Xenopus tropicalis: one gene and its partners. The protein of the gene in region 4 interacts with the protein of the main gene of each other region in a biochemical or structural test. Links are inferred from orthologs where the notes say so. Each region holds a gene or a part of one and is shown on either strand. Other genes may lie near its edges.

Region 1 (5,109 bases), on a different chromosome or scaffold from region 4:
AGCTGGGAATGAATACCCCGGTGAAGATATGGGGTTGGTGGGCTCCAAGGTAGCCAGGGCCGGATTTATCTTCAGGGCGCCCTGAGGCCACCCCCGTTGGTCGCCCCGCCCGCCCCCTGTGCGCATGCGCGAACGCGCGACACACCCCCGTGCGCAGGTGCGAGTGGGCATGCGCAAACCTTTAAAGAGGTCCCGACTGCTCCGTATGGAAGCCAAATGTAAAAATTTTGTTGCCGCCCCTAAACTTCTGCTGCCCTAGACCCGGGCCTTTGTGGCCTTTCCACAAATCCGGGCCTGAAGGTAGCGATGCGGGCCAGCCATTGGTGGAGCATGGGAGGCATGACACCTGAGGGGTTAAAAAGTGTACCAGCAGTGCAGGCTGGTCTTTCTGTTCTGTGCTGGTGAGGGGGTATGGTCCGCATCTGACCCTCCCACCCAAAAAAAAAAACAAATTGTGTTGTCGATTCTTGCATGGAGGAGTCAGTATTTATGTTTATATTTGTTAAAGTGGTCTGCTGTGGGTTATCAGAGGCTGGCAAGTGTTAGATGGTGTCAGTATCTCTTTAATCATACTTTTACTTCCAAGTCACTGCTTGTAAACAAGCTCAACAGAACTTCTTTTAATACAACTTTTTCAGGATAGGAGTAACAGTGAGTGCAACAAACCCACAAAAAATAGAGGTTCACTGAGGCTTCATTTTTGATATATGTGTGGAAAACAGAATCTCTTACCCAGGGTTGGGGCATGGGTGCAGAACATAAAGGGCTAGTTGGCCTTTAAATGAACTTTTAGTATAATGTAAACATTGATGTTCTGAAACAATTTCCATGTGGTGTCCAGTTTGGGATTTCAGCAGCAGTGATATTTACCCCAGGAACCAGCCAGTGGCTTGAATGAGAGACTAAAAGACAAACAGGAGAGGGTCTAAACAGCAAGATAAGTAATAAAAACAAAAACAATAAGATTGTGGCCCCAGAGACTAAAATATGTCTGGCTTCCGAGGTCAGTGGCCCCCATTTGAAAACTGAAAAAATAGGAATGCAAATAATTAAAAACCTATGAAAAATAAATAATGAAGACCAACTGAAACAGTTGCTAGGAATAGGATATTTTATAAGGAACTAAAAGTTAATGTGAATATTTAACAATATTTAGCAGTATAGCCAAACCAGTTTCCAAACACCTTCAATTGCTAAAGGCATAGTGCTGCCACAGGAAAAATGTTGCTTGATGCCAATGTTACAAATCGTGTAAAAACATAAACAATAGTTTGGAGAATGCGGGCATCGATCCCGCTACCTCTCGCATGCTAAGCGAGCGCTCTACCATTTGAGCTAATTCCCCTCCACATGCTCCCTTTCCCTTCTACTTATTAAATGTGTAAAAGCGCGAACCCGGCAGCCAATCAGCGTTTCCCACTTGATCCGAATGAATGGGAGGCAAGATTAGCAGCGGAAGTGACGTGTGGGTTTGCGGCTGGCGCCCGTTCTGCCTCTCTACGCGCTGACGTCTCATGGTGCGTGGGCTCCGGTCCTGGGCGGCGGAGAAGATGGCGGTGTGCGCAGGTCTGTGTATGCTGGGCCGGGGAGCATAAAAGCCGATGTTGGGGTTTGGAGGGGCAGGGATTGAAGTTGTGTGTGAGGCGCACTCTCGCCGTATGGTTTCAGGGATAAGATGACAAAAGAAAACTCTTGCTTTTCGGGGGTTCTCATTGCCTGCCCATCCTTCAGTTTCCCCCCGGTTGAGTGAATAGGAATTTGGCAGTCAGGGGTCTTAACCCTTTACATGGACTGTTGCTCCCAGCATCCCTTCTGGGTATCTGACCCCTTCTCTGTAGGATCTACTTATCCCTTACAATTTGTTCCATTCAATGTGTCACTTTTACTTTCCCTACTTTTTTGATCTATAGCAGAGCCGAAATGATTTCACATGTCTCTAGCAATGTGTCCTTTCTGCCTTCCTGTGTGCTTCTGCAGTCTATCTAGCTGCTCCATCTAGCTGCTCCATCTAACTGCCCACCCTGCCCCCATATTGGGCCACATGCAGTGCCCACCCTGCTGATGATGTGGCCTTTTGCATATTCCCCCCCCCCCCATATGTCAGCAAGTGGTATGGCCTGCATGGCTGCCCCTTACAGATAGCATGATCTGCTTAGTAACCAACTCTGAATGTGGCATGGCTTGTGCTGTCCAACCATAAAACACTGCCATGTCCAGCTTTGTTCTGTCCCCTGCACCATCCAGTTGCCCTTCCTTCGTTTGCTGCACCCCTTCCTGCACATATTTTGCAATGGCCCTAAACATCTTTGCTCTACAGGATCCAGTCCTCCTGTTGCCATGCAGCCTACATATATTTTGTTCTGCATCTCTCTACTATCCCACTTTTGTTCAGCTTTCTGGAACTAATAAGTTGTGTTCTGCTGCTGCTGAATATATATATATGTATTTGCATTTTCTGGGTGTAGTGTGCCCTGAAGCATCTTACACACCTTGATTCTCTGTTACTGAAGTGTTCTTCCCAGCCTAGTATCACATGCCCATCAGAAATCCACTATCCAGCCATCTTACAAACCTGATCTACCTTCTGCCTATAGTGTTTTAATTTTTTCTATGCTCTGCATGTTGTTTGCTAATGAAAAAATCCCAAGCCTTCCTTTTCCATTAAATTTGGCCCTGAAACCTGTCTGTCTCACTCACTCTGCTACAGTTGGCTGACACATTTCCTGGCCTGATAGTCATACATTTTCCAGCTCTGTTGCACCTTTCACTTTCTGTTTTGTTATATAGTACTCTAATCATCTTGTTTTCAAGGAGTAGCTGTCACTTCCCCTACTTTGATAGATTTAAGTTTAGAAATTAATCATAAGATTATTGTACCACTTATTCTCATAATTTGCTATGGAAGTTGTGTTTCTTCTGTAGATACTTGGTCAAGAGAGAAGTGGTGCAGTAGACACCTATGTATTCAGGGCCTCTGCAGGAGGTTGGTCTGAGTTGGGTAGGCCTCTTGAGTGACTGTCTGGTGATCATCCATGGGCATCTCAGGAACTGGCTCATGCCAAGCTGGGGGGTGGACCTGTGGATTACAAGCAGAACAGTTGTTGTTGAACCTATCAATATATTTGCATTTATTGGTTGGAAGTTCCTAAATTTAAATGTGAAATCTGTATTTGAAATACAAATATGTAAAATTTTAAAATATTTTGAGAAGCAGTGTCTTTATGCTTTACCACTTTTCAATACATATTATTGCGTCCTAACAGGTGTTAAGATGCCTCGTAACTTCCGATTACTGGAAGAACTTGAAGAAGGGCAGAAAGGTGTGGGAGATGGCACTGTCAGCTGGGGCCTTGAAGATGATGAAGATATGACACTCACTAGGTGGACAGGAATGATAATTGGACCCCCTAGGGTGCGTTCTGTAAACTGCGTGTCTTGTAGCAGGCAATCTTGTTTGCAACTTTTTCTGGATAAAACAATTCTTTGAACATAACATGTTTGTGTTGGAACCTGTATATGAAAATATATACTAGCTTGATAGTATTGACAAATACCTCTAAGCATCGGTTCCATAGTGCTGGTCACCTATGTCACGTGCCATTTTTACACCGCATTTTTATGCCATGGTTTTAGAAAGTCCCTACATGGCATAAAAAAATGAAATAAGCATTACTATAGAAAACACAGTAATATACTTGTTGTAAAAAACACACATTACATGCTGATATTTGGCAAGAGACACTAGCATGTGTGATTTCACTTTTAGGAGCTGATACGCCAGAACAAATGATAGTCAATGATGTGTCATAAATATGCAGTGTTTTTTAGGATGGTTGCTGAATTTTTGCAAGATTTCCTTCCTAAATCGTATGCCATTTTTACAGTATTTCAGCAATCTCACTATTTAAAACCCTTTGTTCCGGTCCTTGCATTCATTACAGAAGTCTTTGTGCAAGTTATTACTAATATAAACATACAGTGCAGTTTGTCGTTATTACATCATGTTATGTGTGCCAATGTGCATGACAATGTGATTGACGTAGTGTTGGTGGTTTTTAGGAAACGTGAATTAATGCAAAGGTTTGTTGGCGAGTAGAACAAATCATGGATAATTTAGATATATCATCTGGATCAAGTATGTGCATAAAACACTGATATATTTTACAGGTGTTTCTATGCTGCATTACAGTTTCATGTGTGACACAGCATGTTATTATTGTTTAAATATTTGCTTGGTACTGGTTGGAGTACTACAACATGCTCCTGTTTCCATTCAGTATTCAGAAGGATGCAGTCTCATTTTTGAATAGTCAAATACTGTCCCAAATTTACATACCTGTACTTTAATTTGTATTCTGCATGTTAACTTATTAAGTGATATGACATTCTGGCGTCTCCAATGGAACGGAATTTGCATGTTTTTCCTGGGGCTGGTGTTCCTTTTCAGAGAAACCAGAACTGGCCCGTGGAAAAACAAAGTGTTGAACAGGCATTGTTGACCATTACACTTTTGGCTACTCTACTGCTCATGTACAAACAAAAATCTGCACAAGGGTATCTAAAATGCCAGCTTAGATATTCTTTTCCATGGGTTGGTGCAGTTTTTCCAGCAATTTATTTCACTGGGGGTGTCTAAAATATTGGCACCCCCACCCTCCCCAGTGAAAAAGTGAGCTTTACATGTCCTCTAACAGATCAAGCTCTTTTAGCTACATTATGATCAACATTAAACCATATACAGTTATGGGACCTATTATCCAGAATGCGAAAAAATAATTTACATATTGAATAAACCCAATAGGATTGTTTTGCCTTCAATAAGGATTGATTTTATCTTAGTTGGGATCAAGTACAAGGTACTGTTCTATAATTACAGGAAAAAGAAAAACATTATTAAAAATTAGAATTATTTGCTTATAATGAAATTTGGATCTTTCTGTATAACGGGTTTCCGGATAACTGATCCCATACATGTATATGTACACAACAAGCTCTCTATAAAAATAATAATTAATTTGATATATGTAGAAAATGGATTTTTATCATTTTCTCTTGTATTACTCTTTGTATTTCAGACAAATTATGAAAATAGAATTTACAGCTTAAAAA
Region 2 (4,498 bases), on a different chromosome or scaffold from region 4:
ACGCTATCTATCTCACTTCTCCTAGAGAATGCTATTACAAAACTGCTATGCTTACGTGAACCTCGTTCACGGGGCCCTGTCCCCGACTTCTCCAGATGGTAAAAGGGTCTCTGGACTGAAATGGCTTTACTGGGGCCTGTTGCTGCACCCAGGCTCAGAGGGAGCTGTCCTTCGGTAGCAGGCAGGCAGCCAAAGAGGAAGTCACACCCTCCTGCTGGACACTATCAGTCTGCAGGGGGCGTCTACAACCTGACTAAAAAAATAAGGGATAGCATTAGTGCAAACTAGATACAGGGGACTCTGCCCAGTAACAGTAATAGAAAGAACTAGTAGGGGATTAAAGCCATAGGAGCGCTAAATCTTATGGGTCCCTGCACACCGAATCCCGGATTCGGTTCGGGATTCGGGCCAAATCCAGGCTTTTTTTGAAGGATTCAGTTTCGTCTGAATCCTAATTAGTAAGAATTAGCATATGCTAATTAGTATTTGGAAAGGGTTAAATGGTCATGGTAAAAAAAATTTGCCGCACGTGCAGCGATCCTAATTAGCATATGTTAATTCGAATTTGGTTCAGGATTCAGCAGAATCTGCCAGGGTGGGTTCGGCCAAACCCAAAAAAAGTAGGTTTGGTGCATCCCTACTGAAAGGAAAGGATATGATCTGTAGGGTATCTGTAATTGCAGGGTTTCCTGATATAATAACTGCAGCTCAGTTCTGCATATCACACTTGTATGTCCATCTCTGTCTTGCTGCTACTGCCTTGCATTCTGGGAAATTAACATCAGCAACAGAAATAACACACACTTATACATACATATACAGTAGTGTGGAAATGCTTTGATCTGCACAAATATTTTAATTAATAAAGCTGCGATTCCGTAGAGATTCCGTACAGATTCGGTATAATTAGTAAGTTCTGTGGAGGTCAGATGTTATGGCCGACTGAAATTACATTGATCAGTCTTATCTCATAATTTAATGTCATTAGAAAGAGGACAAATTTAGATCCGATGGAAACGCCAAGTATATGCAAGTGTATTAGTATTCAGTGCCATTTGATGTCTACAGTTAGAGATGAGAAACAGAATCTTCTGTTTTTATTAGAGGTAAGGCTGCTTAATGGTATTTTTTCCAAAACCTTGTTCTGGAAAACTTTGGATTGCATATTCTGCTTTCAAAAATGTTTTCCTGAAAATGGTACTTAACCTTGTACCTCACAACAATATCTGTGCGTGTATGGCTAGCTGAAGCAAAAAGATTAGCTAGAAGATTTTATATAGACATATGGCTTTCTGCACTACTACTCCTTTACTCAATATTATGTAAAGTCATGTGAAATTAGGTCTTCTGCCACATCTTATTTGTTTGTAACACACAACTGTTCCCTCTATTACTTGACCTTGTCCTTTGAGTACCTACCTGGGAGGCCTGGCTGTTTTTATTTGATATTTTGGACTGGCTGTAGTTATCCAGAGGATGGATATGGGTTTAGTCTTGAATCATTTCAGATGGTAAAACAATTCCATAAGACTTACACCACAAAACAGGCTTTGATGTTTCCTGTTCTAAAGCAAAACAGCATATGTTAAAGGAAAACTATACCCCCAGAATAAATACCTAATAAACAGTTTATATTTTGTTAAGTGACCTATTAAAGAATTTTGCTAAACTGGAATATATATATATATATCAGTAAATTTAGCTCTTTTACATCTTTTCCCTTGAGTCGCCATTTAGGGCTGTGGTAGACGGGGAGATTAGTTGCCGTGTGACAAATCTCCCCGAAATGCCATCCCACTGACTAGAATGTAAATCTCCGGTGGGATGGCATATGCGGTGCCGAAATCGCCGAAGTTTCCTCTCAAGGCAACTTCAGCGATTTCGGCAAATCGCCGCGCCGCGTATGCCATCCCACCGGTGAGTTACATTCTAGCCGGTGGGATGGCATTTCGGGGAGATTAGTTTCCTGGGACAAGGGAGATTTGTCGCGGGTGACTAATCTCCCCGTCTGTCAAGGCCCTTAGTGATGGGCTGTGTGCTCCCTCAGAGATCACATGACCAGAAATAATGCAGCTCTGACAGGAAGTAGTGTGGGAGCAAAAGGCAGAACTCTGCCCATTAATTGGCTGATGGGGCCTAGCATGTATGTGTGCCTTGGCTTGTTTGTGTGCACTGTGAATCCTATGATCCCAGGGGGCGGCCTTAAAGTGATACCGACACGAAAAAACAACTTTTTAAATTATGAATCTACATAAAAAGTTGCCTATAGGTCGTGTTGATCATTTTTTGCTGATAGGTTTGCTTTTGTAAGAAATTGTTACTTGAAATCCCAAAACCTGACTGTTTTGCCAGCCTGACTGTCCCTTCTCAGCCAGTCAGTTACAGCTTCTAATGCTAATGGCCACCTGCTGGACAAATATGGCCGCCCCCTCATAGAGGAACATGGGGGATCAGATAGTGAATGTAAAAGCTTGGACAAATACTTTTATGGCAAAATAATAAATAGCATGCAGAGACAATATTATGACAGATGTAAAAAAGGTTTCATTTCTGGTGTCAGTATCTCTTTAATTCTTAAAATGGCAGTTTTCTATTTAGTATTACCCAATAGCACATACTACTAAAAAAGTATATTTTTATGAAAATGGTTTATTTAGATGAAGCAGGTTTTATGCAATATATTTTTTTAGAGACCTACATTGTTTGGGGTATAGTTTTCCTTTAAAGATTTGTCATTGTTATAAACATGCACCCAAATATACTGCATGCTTTATTTCTTTTTCACAAATAGGTTTTCTTATTATTATTGTTCACTATTGCTGGAATTATCCAATTAGAACAGAGGAAATTGACAGATTTACTGTCAGCAAGAGTGTGTTGGTTTCAGTTTAAAAAAAATGTTAGAAATGTATAAAAAAAAAAAATAAAAAAAAAAAAATGTAATATACAGAGAGAGAAAGGGTTCCACACACAGGGACTTAGTGCCAAAAGACAAAAGTTCTATTAAAAAAAGTCCTGTCCCTGAGAAAGGGCACTGTCTTAGCTGGTATAAAGTAAAAGATACTGTTTTGTTTGAATTATATGATTATAATGGAGCCTATAGGAGATGGCCTTCCTTTAATTTAGAACTTTCTGGACAATGGATCCCATACTTTCTGGATAATGGATCCCATATATGTATGTGTGTGTGTGTATATATATATATATATATATATATAATATACACAAAATTAATGACTAATTGTGAACTGTATTAAATATCTACTACAATGTGGGCAGGTCTCCTCTGTTTTAAATAAAATTACAACTCTTTTTTTCTTGTATGTTTTAGGCAGCATCTTTCAAAGGTTGTCTTGGATTCACCTCCCATGTCGCCACAAAGTAACCCCTCCACCAGCAAGATTGCAAAAATGCAGGGATGCACTGGTAAACAAGTAAAGCAAGAGAACATAATAATGAATAGATTTCTGGTAAAAGGCAACTGTTCAACACCCCGAACTCATTCAAACACTTTACAAGATGAAACCTTTTTAAGCCAGGATTCTTCATATACCTCTGCTAATACCTCCAATATTGATTTAGCCGGAGAAGCAGGTTCTGTAATGACAGAGACGTTTGGTACATTTTCACCCTCCACATCTGCTCTAGCTGCACCCTCTTCTGCATCAAAAGTTAGAGGTAAGCCTCTAGTGTCCGAACTATTTGCCATATTTTTTATATTTTTATATATAATGCAACTATATTGGATTTTTATATATAATTAAACTGTATTGGATCTGGAATTAATCTGTTTTTACAAATAGTCTTAATTTTTTTTTTTTTTGCTTACAGTTGTTTATGTATTTAATTATATATTTTATATTTCTTTAGTGTAACATTTCTTTTCTGTCTGCACATAACGCGCTTATGCTGTGAGTTTTTGACACATTTCACCTGCTCTAATTGGCCGATTCCAACGTGAGCCAGTCATTTTCAGTGCACAACTGACACACAACATGGTTAGGTTTTTTAAAGCAGGAAATGACAGACGAGGAGATTAGTCCCTGCAACAAATCTCTTTTACTGGGGAGACTAATCTCACAATGCCTTCCCACTGGCGATAACGTAAATTGTCAGTGGGAAGGCATTGGTAGGAGATTAGTTGCCCGCAATAGAGGAGATTTGTTACAGGCGACTAATTTCCTCTTCTGTCATTTCCCTTATACTGTTCCCTGTAGAAGAAAAGTGATATGTATTGTAATTTGCAGGGATTTAGAAGATAAGAACCTTTGAACTGTAATGCTATACAGTTTACTAGTTCCATAAGGATCTGAAAAAACTTTACACATTTCAGTTGCTAAATTGGCAAATAACCCAATGACTTAAAATTATTTAACTTTGTTCACACAGTAGACTGGGGTTAGGTGTTCTGTGGCACAGCGCAGACATTAGAAGAATATGTCCGATATATTTATGGAAAACTGCAGAAACAGGCATTGTGTGACATTCTAATATATTC
Region 3 (4,498 bases), on a different chromosome or scaffold from region 4:
AGTAACGGTCCTATGGGAGGCTTCCAGAAACATGCACTGAAGGCTCAAAGTCAAAGTTTTTTGTTTACGATCATTCAGATACGAAAATTTGTGAACTTTCGGATCGTACCACAAAATTTTTGTACGACCACAATGCGAGTTTTTGCGCAATTAACGCACATGAGAAATTTTCATACTTGATACAAATTTTTCCTAAACGTACTTTTAAAAGTCTGAAATTCGGACTTTGATAAATGGGCCCCTTGATGTACCACCAAACAAACCCTCCTGTAAACTGATGGTGTGCATAGAGGCTACCTAATAGCTAATCTTAGCCCTTATTTGACACCCCCATGATCTTTTATGATGCTTGTGTTGTTCCCCAAGTCTTTTTACATTTGACTTTGGCTCACGAGTAAGAAAGGTTGAGGACCCCTGGTTTAGTGCACCCAAGGGCAAACCCACAACTGATGGTGACTTTAAAGCTCTGGCCTGCTGAAAGTGGCAATATCTTACTTAGTTTTATTTGGATTTTTATCCTCTTCGACTGTGCAAATTAGGGTTTGAACTTGATTTAGCGATCAACCAAACATGGGGGAGAATGTGGCATTTAGCCTAGTCTCAATGGATTTGGTGCGATCCCTATTACTAAGCTTATAATACTAGAAACTTGCATCCTTATTGCTAAGCTTATAAATGAAAGGGGTGTTTGATTGTTGACCTTAGACCCTGGCCAGCCTGGGTGCTGTTCTAGTGAGCACCACCATCATCTTTCCCTATACAGGAAATATTTTGCTGCAGCCCTGGGCATGTGCAGTAGGGATAGAGTTCAGCTTCCAGGTTCAAATTCTGATCTGTCACTCTAGCACCAGCATACAGACAAGCCACAAAGGATGCCTGGGGCAGGTGAAATAGTAGCCTGGGCTGGTGTGGTTTATCAGTGCTGAGGAGTGCCATCCCAGGGTCTGAATTATGTCCACAACTGCCATCTGGTGGAAAACAGTGGCATTTGGTCTGCCACTCTCATTACTCCTAGTACAAGTGAATAAAAAAAATAAAAAGCACCCTACTGGACATACATAAAGTGGTGACCAGTGCCAGATTGAGATGGCTGGTTTTTTTCTTTTTTTTCCTCTAGGCATTAGTCAAAAAAGGACTTTTGGCAATTACTGATATCCTTATATTTAGCACTGGAAGGCTTAGAATTTTTTTTACTGTGCTTTTAAATATATATATTAATTTCCTGTTATTTATATAGCACTGACTGATTTCCACAGCACTTTTCAGAGATTATTCATCATTCCTGCCCCAGGGGAGCTTACAATCTAAGGTCCCTAGCTCATTCACACACACTCTGTTTATATTTATGGAGTGTGGGAGGAAACTGGTGTACCTGGAGGAAACCCATGCAGACATGGGGAGAACATACAGACTCCAGGCCAGGATTGAACTCAGGACCCCAACGCTGCAAAGCAGAAGTGCTAGATAAAATGTAATAAAAGTGTGTTTAGTTTGGTTCCTAATGTTTAAATATTGTTGTGGGTTTTAGAGATGATAGTCATAAAAGTACCTTTAATTTTTTTAACATAAGTTTACTACACATGTATTGGCATTTATATATCTATATCTATACATATCCCTAAAGAGGAACACAATTAGTGTTGGAAACGTTGGATTAATAAAGATTTTTTGTTCTTTTTTTAAACTCCCTGTGTGTGCGGAACTCTGTTCTTCATTTATATAATATATGTGTATTATCTCCTCAGTCACTACACATTTTACATTTGTCCTGGTGTTTTCATTGCAGGAAACCCAGCGTTTACTGGCAGAGCCAGTCCCCGGAATTAAGGCTGAGCCAGATGAAAACAATGCTCGCTATTTCCATGTGCTTATCGCTGGTCCACAGGATTCCCCCTTTGAGGGAGGGACATTTAAACTTGAATTATTTCTTCCGGAAGAATACCCAATGGCAGCGCCTAAAGTACGTTTCATGACCAAAATCTATCACCCTAATGTAGACAAGTTGGGAAGAATATGTCTAGATATTTTGAAAGGTAAGTTTTTCCTCTTATTTAAAAGGACGCTATTATTTTTCAGATTCTTTTTTTAAAAATGACTTAGGCATCACTGTATACAGCGTGCCTTTAAGTGCTGACTATTAAATCATTTTAAGAGCCAACAAAAATAAGTTGTGCTACCTTCTGAACTGTTGCATTGTGGAGTTCAGTTATTTTTTTTTTTATACACACTGACATTGTGTAACTATTGCACTAGCATGTTACAGTGTTCTAATGTGTTCCATTCCAGTTGGTAACTGCATACAGGTGTATGCTAATATATGCATCAGAAATGCCAGTGGAGTAAATGCCAATTAGGTTTAATCCATCTTGTTCAGTTATCATTGACAGACATGGCATCTGCCGTATGTGCATAGAGAATACACCACATGGTGTTAGTCTTATTTCTTTAAGTGCCAGTAGCAGTAAGAACTTGTTTAGACTTGTTGCTAGGCAACATGTTGTTTTCCCCTTAGATTACAATGTAACCCAGAAATGTATATCTATTGCATTGGTATTTTAATACTACTTTGTTAAAACCATAAATGGTTAAACATTCCTTGCAAGTTTTTTTTTTTTTATTATTATAAATTAAAGTCATGAATTTATGTTAATTAAGATAAAAAAAAACCTATCTGGGATGTTGCTCAGTATGCCTTTTTCTTGGGATTTTTCCTTTTGTTTGCCGAACACATTGTTTGCTGACACCTGTCAATATAATGGTAATAGACGTGTTTTACTTTGTGTAAAAACTGTGGTTTTGGGCTTTACTATGTTCTTTAAAGGGATACTGCCATGATTTTTTATGGTGTACTTTTTATTTCTAAATTACACTGTTTAAACAGAAAATAATTCACTCTACCATTTAAAAAAATTTTCTTGAACCAACATTTATTTTTTTAGTTGTAATATTGCTGTGTAGGCAGCCATCTCAGTGGCTGAACTTTCAGAAAGAGCCAGCGCTACACATTAGAACTGTTTCCAGGCAACCTATTGTTTCTCCTACTCCCATGTAGTCCCAAGCCAGACTTGGATTTCTTACTATTGAGTGCATACTATTTAATTGCATATTTACTCATAGTAAGGTACCATATAATTTGTACTCATAATAAATAACACATGATCATGTGAACATGAAATGAATGTTTGAATTTAAAGGCAAAGAGTAGGGTCTTATTTTCTCTTTCTTCATGTATAGATAAATGGTCACCAGCTCTGCAAATCCGTACCGTGCTCCTATCAATTCAGGCTTTGTTAAGTGCTCCCAACCCAGATGACCCATTAGCCAATGATGTAGCTGAGCAGTGGAAGACAAATGAAGCCCAAGCCATAGAAACAGGTATTGAAAAGCGAAGATTTTAATTTTTATTTTTTTAATATTATTCTGTATTTTTTACATTCTTGCACAATACTGATTGAAATTACCAAAATACAGCTTTGGGGTGAAAATGAATCCCCTCTGTGCTTTGTCATTTTATGTTTTTTATTTAGCTATAGCTTTGTTGTGACCAGTAGATTGCAACCAAACAGTGTCAGAAAAAACACGAATTTGAGCATTTTCAGTCTCTAATGGTGCAATTGTCTTTAGTGATCTTGTTTTCTCTTAGACAGATTTAAAGAAAACATTCTGGAATGAGATTCTGGAATTTTCTGACCATTTTATAGTGTGTTTGTGTATGTAATATAATACAGTGTGTGCGCTCAGTGTATTGCATTGTATGCATGAACGTGAAGGACTGGTAAAAAGGAGAAATTTGCTGAATATCTCTGCAGGTAAATGCATAACATTGTCTGTATAGGCAGGTACTATGTTGTTCTCATTGTGCTCTCTCTTCCCTTGCAGCCAGAGCATGGACTAGGCTACATGCTATGAATAATATTTAAATTCGGCTTGATCTTCAAGTGCACATCATTTCTCCTGTTCTGCCAAGACCTCTTCCCTTTATTTTTGTTTTGTTTTTGTTTGTGTTTAATGGACACAGTCTTAATAAAATATATGGAATAAAAAGCCCAGACATGGTCATCTTTGGTGATTAAATGCACATTAGCAAATAATATGTCTTGTTCTAATTCACTGTTGTATCGCATGCGCAGAGGCTGTAATCCATCGTGTCAGCATGTTCCACAATGTTCAAAGGGGTGGCAAAAGTTCTTGATGTCCATTATACCCATCATGATTTGAGTATGAGCACTGTGAATGAAGGTAGAGTTAGGTTAGTTGCTGAAACAGTTGGGTTTTTTTTTTTAATTTTTAAGATAAAACAACTATTTGTTTGGCTCTGTTAACTTTAAAACAATGTGTCATTGCCCCTCCCTTTCTTTTTAGATGCACTTTTGTTTTTGCATTGGTCAAATCTGTATTCAAAGTAACATGTACTTGCACCCCATCCTCCCTTCCCCTGTAGGAACGATTTATTAAACAGAGAATTAGAGATGATTCTAAAAATCCATCCATGAAGCAG
Region 4 (4,498 bases):
AGATACAAGGTTTGCAGAATACATGAGCACAGTAAGTAATAACTGGCATGTTTAAAGAATCCAAACATATGGCGCATTCCTCATCTGAGCCGGAGCTCAAAACCAGCTTTATCTTCTGAACGAGCTTCTCACGCACATCTCCTGGAGTGGAGTCAGCTGGGGATTTGCAAGGAAACACATGACAATGTGATGCCTTGGGTACAAAGCAAAAGCAATGCAGCAACACATCACAGTTATTCTGTAGGAGTAACTCTGCACTGCAATTCTTATAGAAGAATGCTTAGAATAATCATAAGAATCATCTGGAACCCTATAATGTAACTATTTCAGGTTGCTACAAGCTGTCATTGTACTTTAGCTCTGTTAAACTAATGATGACATATAAGTTACACTTTGGCTAGGGGCACTCAGGCATAGTATTGGCAGTGGAACACCAAAACTTGGGGCCACGTACCCAGCATATAAGAGTAGGCTGAATACGGAGTAATTAGCAAATTCCAATTTTATCAGTATCAAATCATCTGTGTAAATACATGATTGCGTTCAGTTGTCCAGAGCTTTAAGTCATAGGACATTTAGGGCTCTGGTACACGGGGAGATTAGACGCCTGCAACAAGGGAGATTTGCCGCGGACGACTAAGAGCCCTAAAGCTAATGCCACACAGGGGGTAGATCCTCAGCCTGCAGATAAGAACACAACACTGCATTCGCAAGCAGTTGTGCGCTGAATTCTACTTATTGTGCCTGCGACCAGGCTGAAGCAATGGCTCCATGTGAAGGCACAACAATCAGATTTTTGAAACAATCAGATTCTTGATTTTGTTCAGTTGAGTACTAAGAATTAGACTGAATACAAATCATCCCTAAAGTACTGCTGTTCAGGTCAATTTAGCACATACCTAATTTTCTGTAATGTCCCATGTCCTGACCAATATCAATAAGACTTCACCCGGCAAGATTTACGGGAAATTCCAAGTCCCTTTGGCATTATTTGCTGCAGGAAAGGGGCCATACTAGCCATAGTTTGTAAGGAAGGTAGAAACTGCACAACCTTGGCTCCTAACATGCTCGTAGTCCAGAATACTTCCTAAAACCCAAAACTTACTGTTCTGCTACACTCACCAGTAGTAGTAATGGAAGATAAAGCACTTGACACAAGAAAGGGGTGGCAGCAAAGCTGTCTCAGTCTCACCAGCACAGCTAAAACATCTGCATAATGTGAGAGTATGGTTCCTTCACTGACATACCTAAAGAATACAATAAATGTGTAATACATAGTAACCATAGGACAATTCCTTCCTGACTTTAAAATGGCAACTGTTTTGGTCATTCTACTTACAGGCTTTAGAAATTAATTTAGAAAAAATATTCCAACTGCCCTGTTAATGGCAAATGAACTGAATGCACTGGAGAAAGCCTTTTAGCAAAATATGACACAAAAGATTTATTGACTTTAGCAGTGTATTTGCTCCATTTGCACTTTGCAGGCTTTCCTAGGTGCCTTTCTGAGCTCTATCTAAAGTTTCCCCCTGCAATAATCTCTCCATCATTCATGGGTGGAAGTGATGTCTCCAGACAGAAGACGCAGATCAGTGCAAAGGAAGCTTTCAGCAATAAATAAAAACAAACAGCTTTTAACTATTTATGGTGCCTGGATTTGGCGGACCATACTGACAAGGTATTGTTTCAAGGTGTGGTGCACTGGGTTTAGTTCTCCTTTAAACAAAATATTTAGGGCGATTAGAAAACTTAGTATAAACAAAGTATATGAAAAGTTACCCCTATCTTTTAAATGTGTGGCAGAGTAACAAGCAATATACCAATATATGATCCTGAGTTTAAAGACAAGAACCTATCCACCACCCACAAAAATGGTAGGCACAACATAGGAAGTCTTACCTGCTAATAACAGCCTTGCCTTCGTTCTTCAGAGACTCATAGATTTGCCTTTCTTCCTCTGAAAGCTCCACATGCTGGATGAACACTTTGCGCTCTGGCAGATCCAGTACAGGCCTACCTCTGATTTTACTGGTTTTGGTTCTCCTCAGAGTTATATTTTTAATTAAAGCTTGCAATCGGCTTAAAAAGAATAAACTTTGGTCAGAGGTTGGGCAGAAGTGTCATATAAAATCACTGATGGTAACAGGCACCAGATGCAGAGAATTGCAATTATCAGGCCCATCTTTCCTAGGAGTAGAGCACCATTTGCTTTTTAATATTGGCAAGGGAGTAGTTGTGCAACATAACATGGCCTCTAGGTAAAAGGTGCAAGTGTTATAATGCTTCCCCTCTCCTGAAATGAGCCAGCAATCAAAGAAGAGAAGTTTAATTTTGCACTGGGGTAACACCATACTGATACATTTAGAGCCTGCACGGAGAAACCATGGAATGTCAAGATTCTTGCTATTTACCAAAGTAATGGGTGCAATAATGCACTGGAACAAATGCTCTGAATACATATTATAAGACTTTATATTTGCAAATGGGTAAGGGCTAATACACTGTGGAGGCAAACATCTTAATAATACCACTTTGCCTTCCCCAACTAACTAATGGTAATTATATTGCAAAAATTAGTTGTCCTACCAAAGTCCACCGTCTTCTCCAGTGGTAACAGGTCGCTGGATTGTCCGGTGCCACCACTCTCTATCGGTGAAAGGTTTTAGTTTTAAGAAACATATTAGAGACCACAAGTCCTTCAAAGAGTTCTGAATAGGAGTGCCTGTTTATTAAAATAAAAATGCATTATGCCTATTGGCAATGTTATTTAATATAAGAAATCAAAGAAGCTATTCTGTGCAAAATGACAGAAGATATGCATACCTTTGTGTAACATTCTCTTCTATTTATACCTGTAGCATTACACAGCTAGCTAACAACCATGAATATTCTCTGTGAACAAATTTCACTGTCAATGGTAAAATATAGTATCAGTGCTCCATACATTCAGAATGAGAGTTTCCATTTACTGCTCAAAGCAGTCATCTTATTTTTTTATGAAAGACAGTTACTTTGCCAGCAAGCTAAGCCTGACTCCCTGTAGCTTACATAGTAATTGCCCAAAAGGGCAATGGTCAAAATGTCCCAGAAATGTTTCTATTGGAACAAGAGAGGGTGGCGTCTGCTGTTAAAGGAACAGTAACACTAAAAAATAAAAATGTTTTAAAATAATTAAAATATAATGTACTTTTGCCCTGCACTGGTAAAAGTTGCATGTTAGCTTCAGAAAGTCTACTATAGTTAATAGAAATAGCTGCTGTGTAGCCATGGGGGCAGCCATTTAAATTGAAAAAAGGAGAAAAGGCACAGGTTACATAAGAAGATACCAGATAAACTGTGGAATCTGCTACTTATCTGTTATCTGCTTAGTAACCTGTGCCTTTTCTCCTTTTTTCAATTTAAATGGCTGCCCCCATGGCTACACAGCAAGGTATTTATATAAACTGCAGTAGTGTTTATGAAGAAAACACACAACTTTTACCAGTGCAGAGAAATAGTATATAATATATTAATTATTTTAATACACGTTCATTTTTTGGTGTTACTGTTCCTTTAAGATGTACCAGGACAAAACACTGAAGAAGGGGTTGAAAATATAATCTAGCACACGCACCCTAGGCTGTATATGCCTGACTGCACAGGCTAGGGGGAAAAACCTACTGAATAGCCCTATGGTGCAGCCCTGCCTTAAGGTGGCGAGGTCGCCAAGCGAGCAGATTGTCTCCCAATAACAGGTGGACAATATTGGGCTAATTGCTGAGGTTGCCAAGTGAGCGGATCGTCTCCTAATAATGGGTGGACGATATTGGGCTAATTCGTTCGTTTGGCCCTAGGGCAGGCATAGGCGCCGCCGGTTCGAGGACCACATCAACAAGCCCATATGGTCCCTGATCCGTAATGAAATAGCGGGCATAGGCATACATCTGGGAAACACATCAACAAGCCAATGTGGTCCCTGATCAGAGGGAAAAATTAAATCTGCCCGATCGGGATCTGCCCCATTTCAGGCCAGATGTCGGTTGGGGAGGCCAATAGATTAGCTGCCGTTATCGGTCTAAAGGACCGATATCAGCAGCTGAAATTGGCCGGTGTACCTTTGCAGTCAGGGTAACATGAGCAAGGTGAGACTGGAACAGTTAGAAAATGGAATGTTGCACCAATATTAGTCCCCCAACTCTCTGCAGCTTCTAAATAGTACTGATCATGTCACAGAACATGTCTTCAAAAGCACAAATTGACTGATAATCTAATGTAAATAAAACTGTTCCAGCTGGAACACAATTTGCCAGTTGTCAGTCAAGGATTAAACATACACCGCAGGTGCAAATGCACAATCACTCAATAAAATAGTGTTGAGACCCAAATGGCCTAATCAAACCTGCCCGATCGAGATCTCCCCGATTTCAAGCCAGATGTTGGTCAGGCAGGCCCATTGTTTGTACCTCTACATGGGCAGATAAGCTGCCCAATCGGTCTAAAGGACAGATGTAGGCAGCTA

The links.
Region 1: the proteins of hltf (region 4) and ube2v2 form a complex in vitro, tested with the Homo sapiens proteins (2 studies listed by BioGRID). The link is inferred for Xenopus tropicalis from reciprocal best matches to the Homo sapiens genes HLTF and UBE2V2.
Region 2: the proteins of hltf (region 4) and rad18 form a complex in vitro, tested with the Homo sapiens proteins (2 studies listed by BioGRID). The link is inferred for Xenopus tropicalis from reciprocal best matches to the Homo sapiens genes HLTF and RAD18.
Region 3: the proteins of hltf (region 4) and ube2n form a complex in vitro, tested with the Homo sapiens proteins (2 studies listed by BioGRID, with this or other methods). The link is inferred for Xenopus tropicalis from reciprocal best matches to the Homo sapiens genes HLTF and UBE2N.

The regions. Positions count from the first base shown.
Region 1 is NC_030682.2:113,259,942-113,265,050, forward strand, and holds the start of ube2v2 (ubiquitin-conjugating enzyme E2 variant 2), read left to right. Parts: upstream 1-1,542; 5' UTR 1,543-1,550; coding exon 1,551-1,566; intron 1,567-1,634; exon of another isoform or gene 1,635-1,816; intron 1,817-3,263; coding exon 3,264-3,412; intron 3,413-5,075; coding exon 5,076-5,109. UniProt on the Homo sapiens protein: Has no ubiquitin ligase activity on its own. The UBE2V2/UBE2N heterodimer catalyzes the synthesis of non-canonical poly-ubiquitin chains that are linked through 'Lys-63'. This type of poly-ubiquitination does not lead to protein degradation by the proteasome.
Region 2 is NC_030680.2:131,520,087-131,524,584, reverse strand, and holds part of rad18 (E3 ubiquitin-protein ligase RAD18), read left to right. Parts: intron 1-3,331; coding exon 3,332-3,678; intron 3,679-4,498. UniProt on the Homo sapiens protein: E3 ubiquitin-protein ligase involved in postreplication repair of UV-damaged DNA. Postreplication repair functions in gap-filling of a daughter strand on replication of damaged DNA.
Region 3 is NC_030679.2:56,088,872-56,093,369, reverse strand, and holds part of ube2n (ubiquitin-conjugating enzyme E2 N), read left to right. Parts: intron 1-1,786; coding exon 1,787-2,033; intron 2,034-3,234; coding exon 3,235-3,375; intron 3,376-3,879; coding exon 3,880-3,920; 3' UTR 3,921-4,498. UniProt on the Homo sapiens protein: The UBE2V1-UBE2N and UBE2V2-UBE2N heterodimers catalyze the synthesis of non-canonical 'Lys-63'-linked polyubiquitin chains. This type of polyubiquitination does not lead to protein degradation by the proteasome.
Region 4 is NC_030681.2:122,176,931-122,181,428, forward strand, and holds part of hltf (helicase-like transcription factor), read right to left. Parts: intron 2,723-4,498; coding exon 2,587-2,722; intron 2,080-2,586; coding exon 1,900-2,079; intron 1,248-1,899; coding exon 1,123-1,247; intron 157-1,122; coding exon 1-156. UniProt on the Homo sapiens protein: Has both helicase and E3 ubiquitin ligase activities. Possesses intrinsic ATP-dependent nucleosome-remodeling activity; This activity may be required for transcriptional activation or repression of specific target promoters.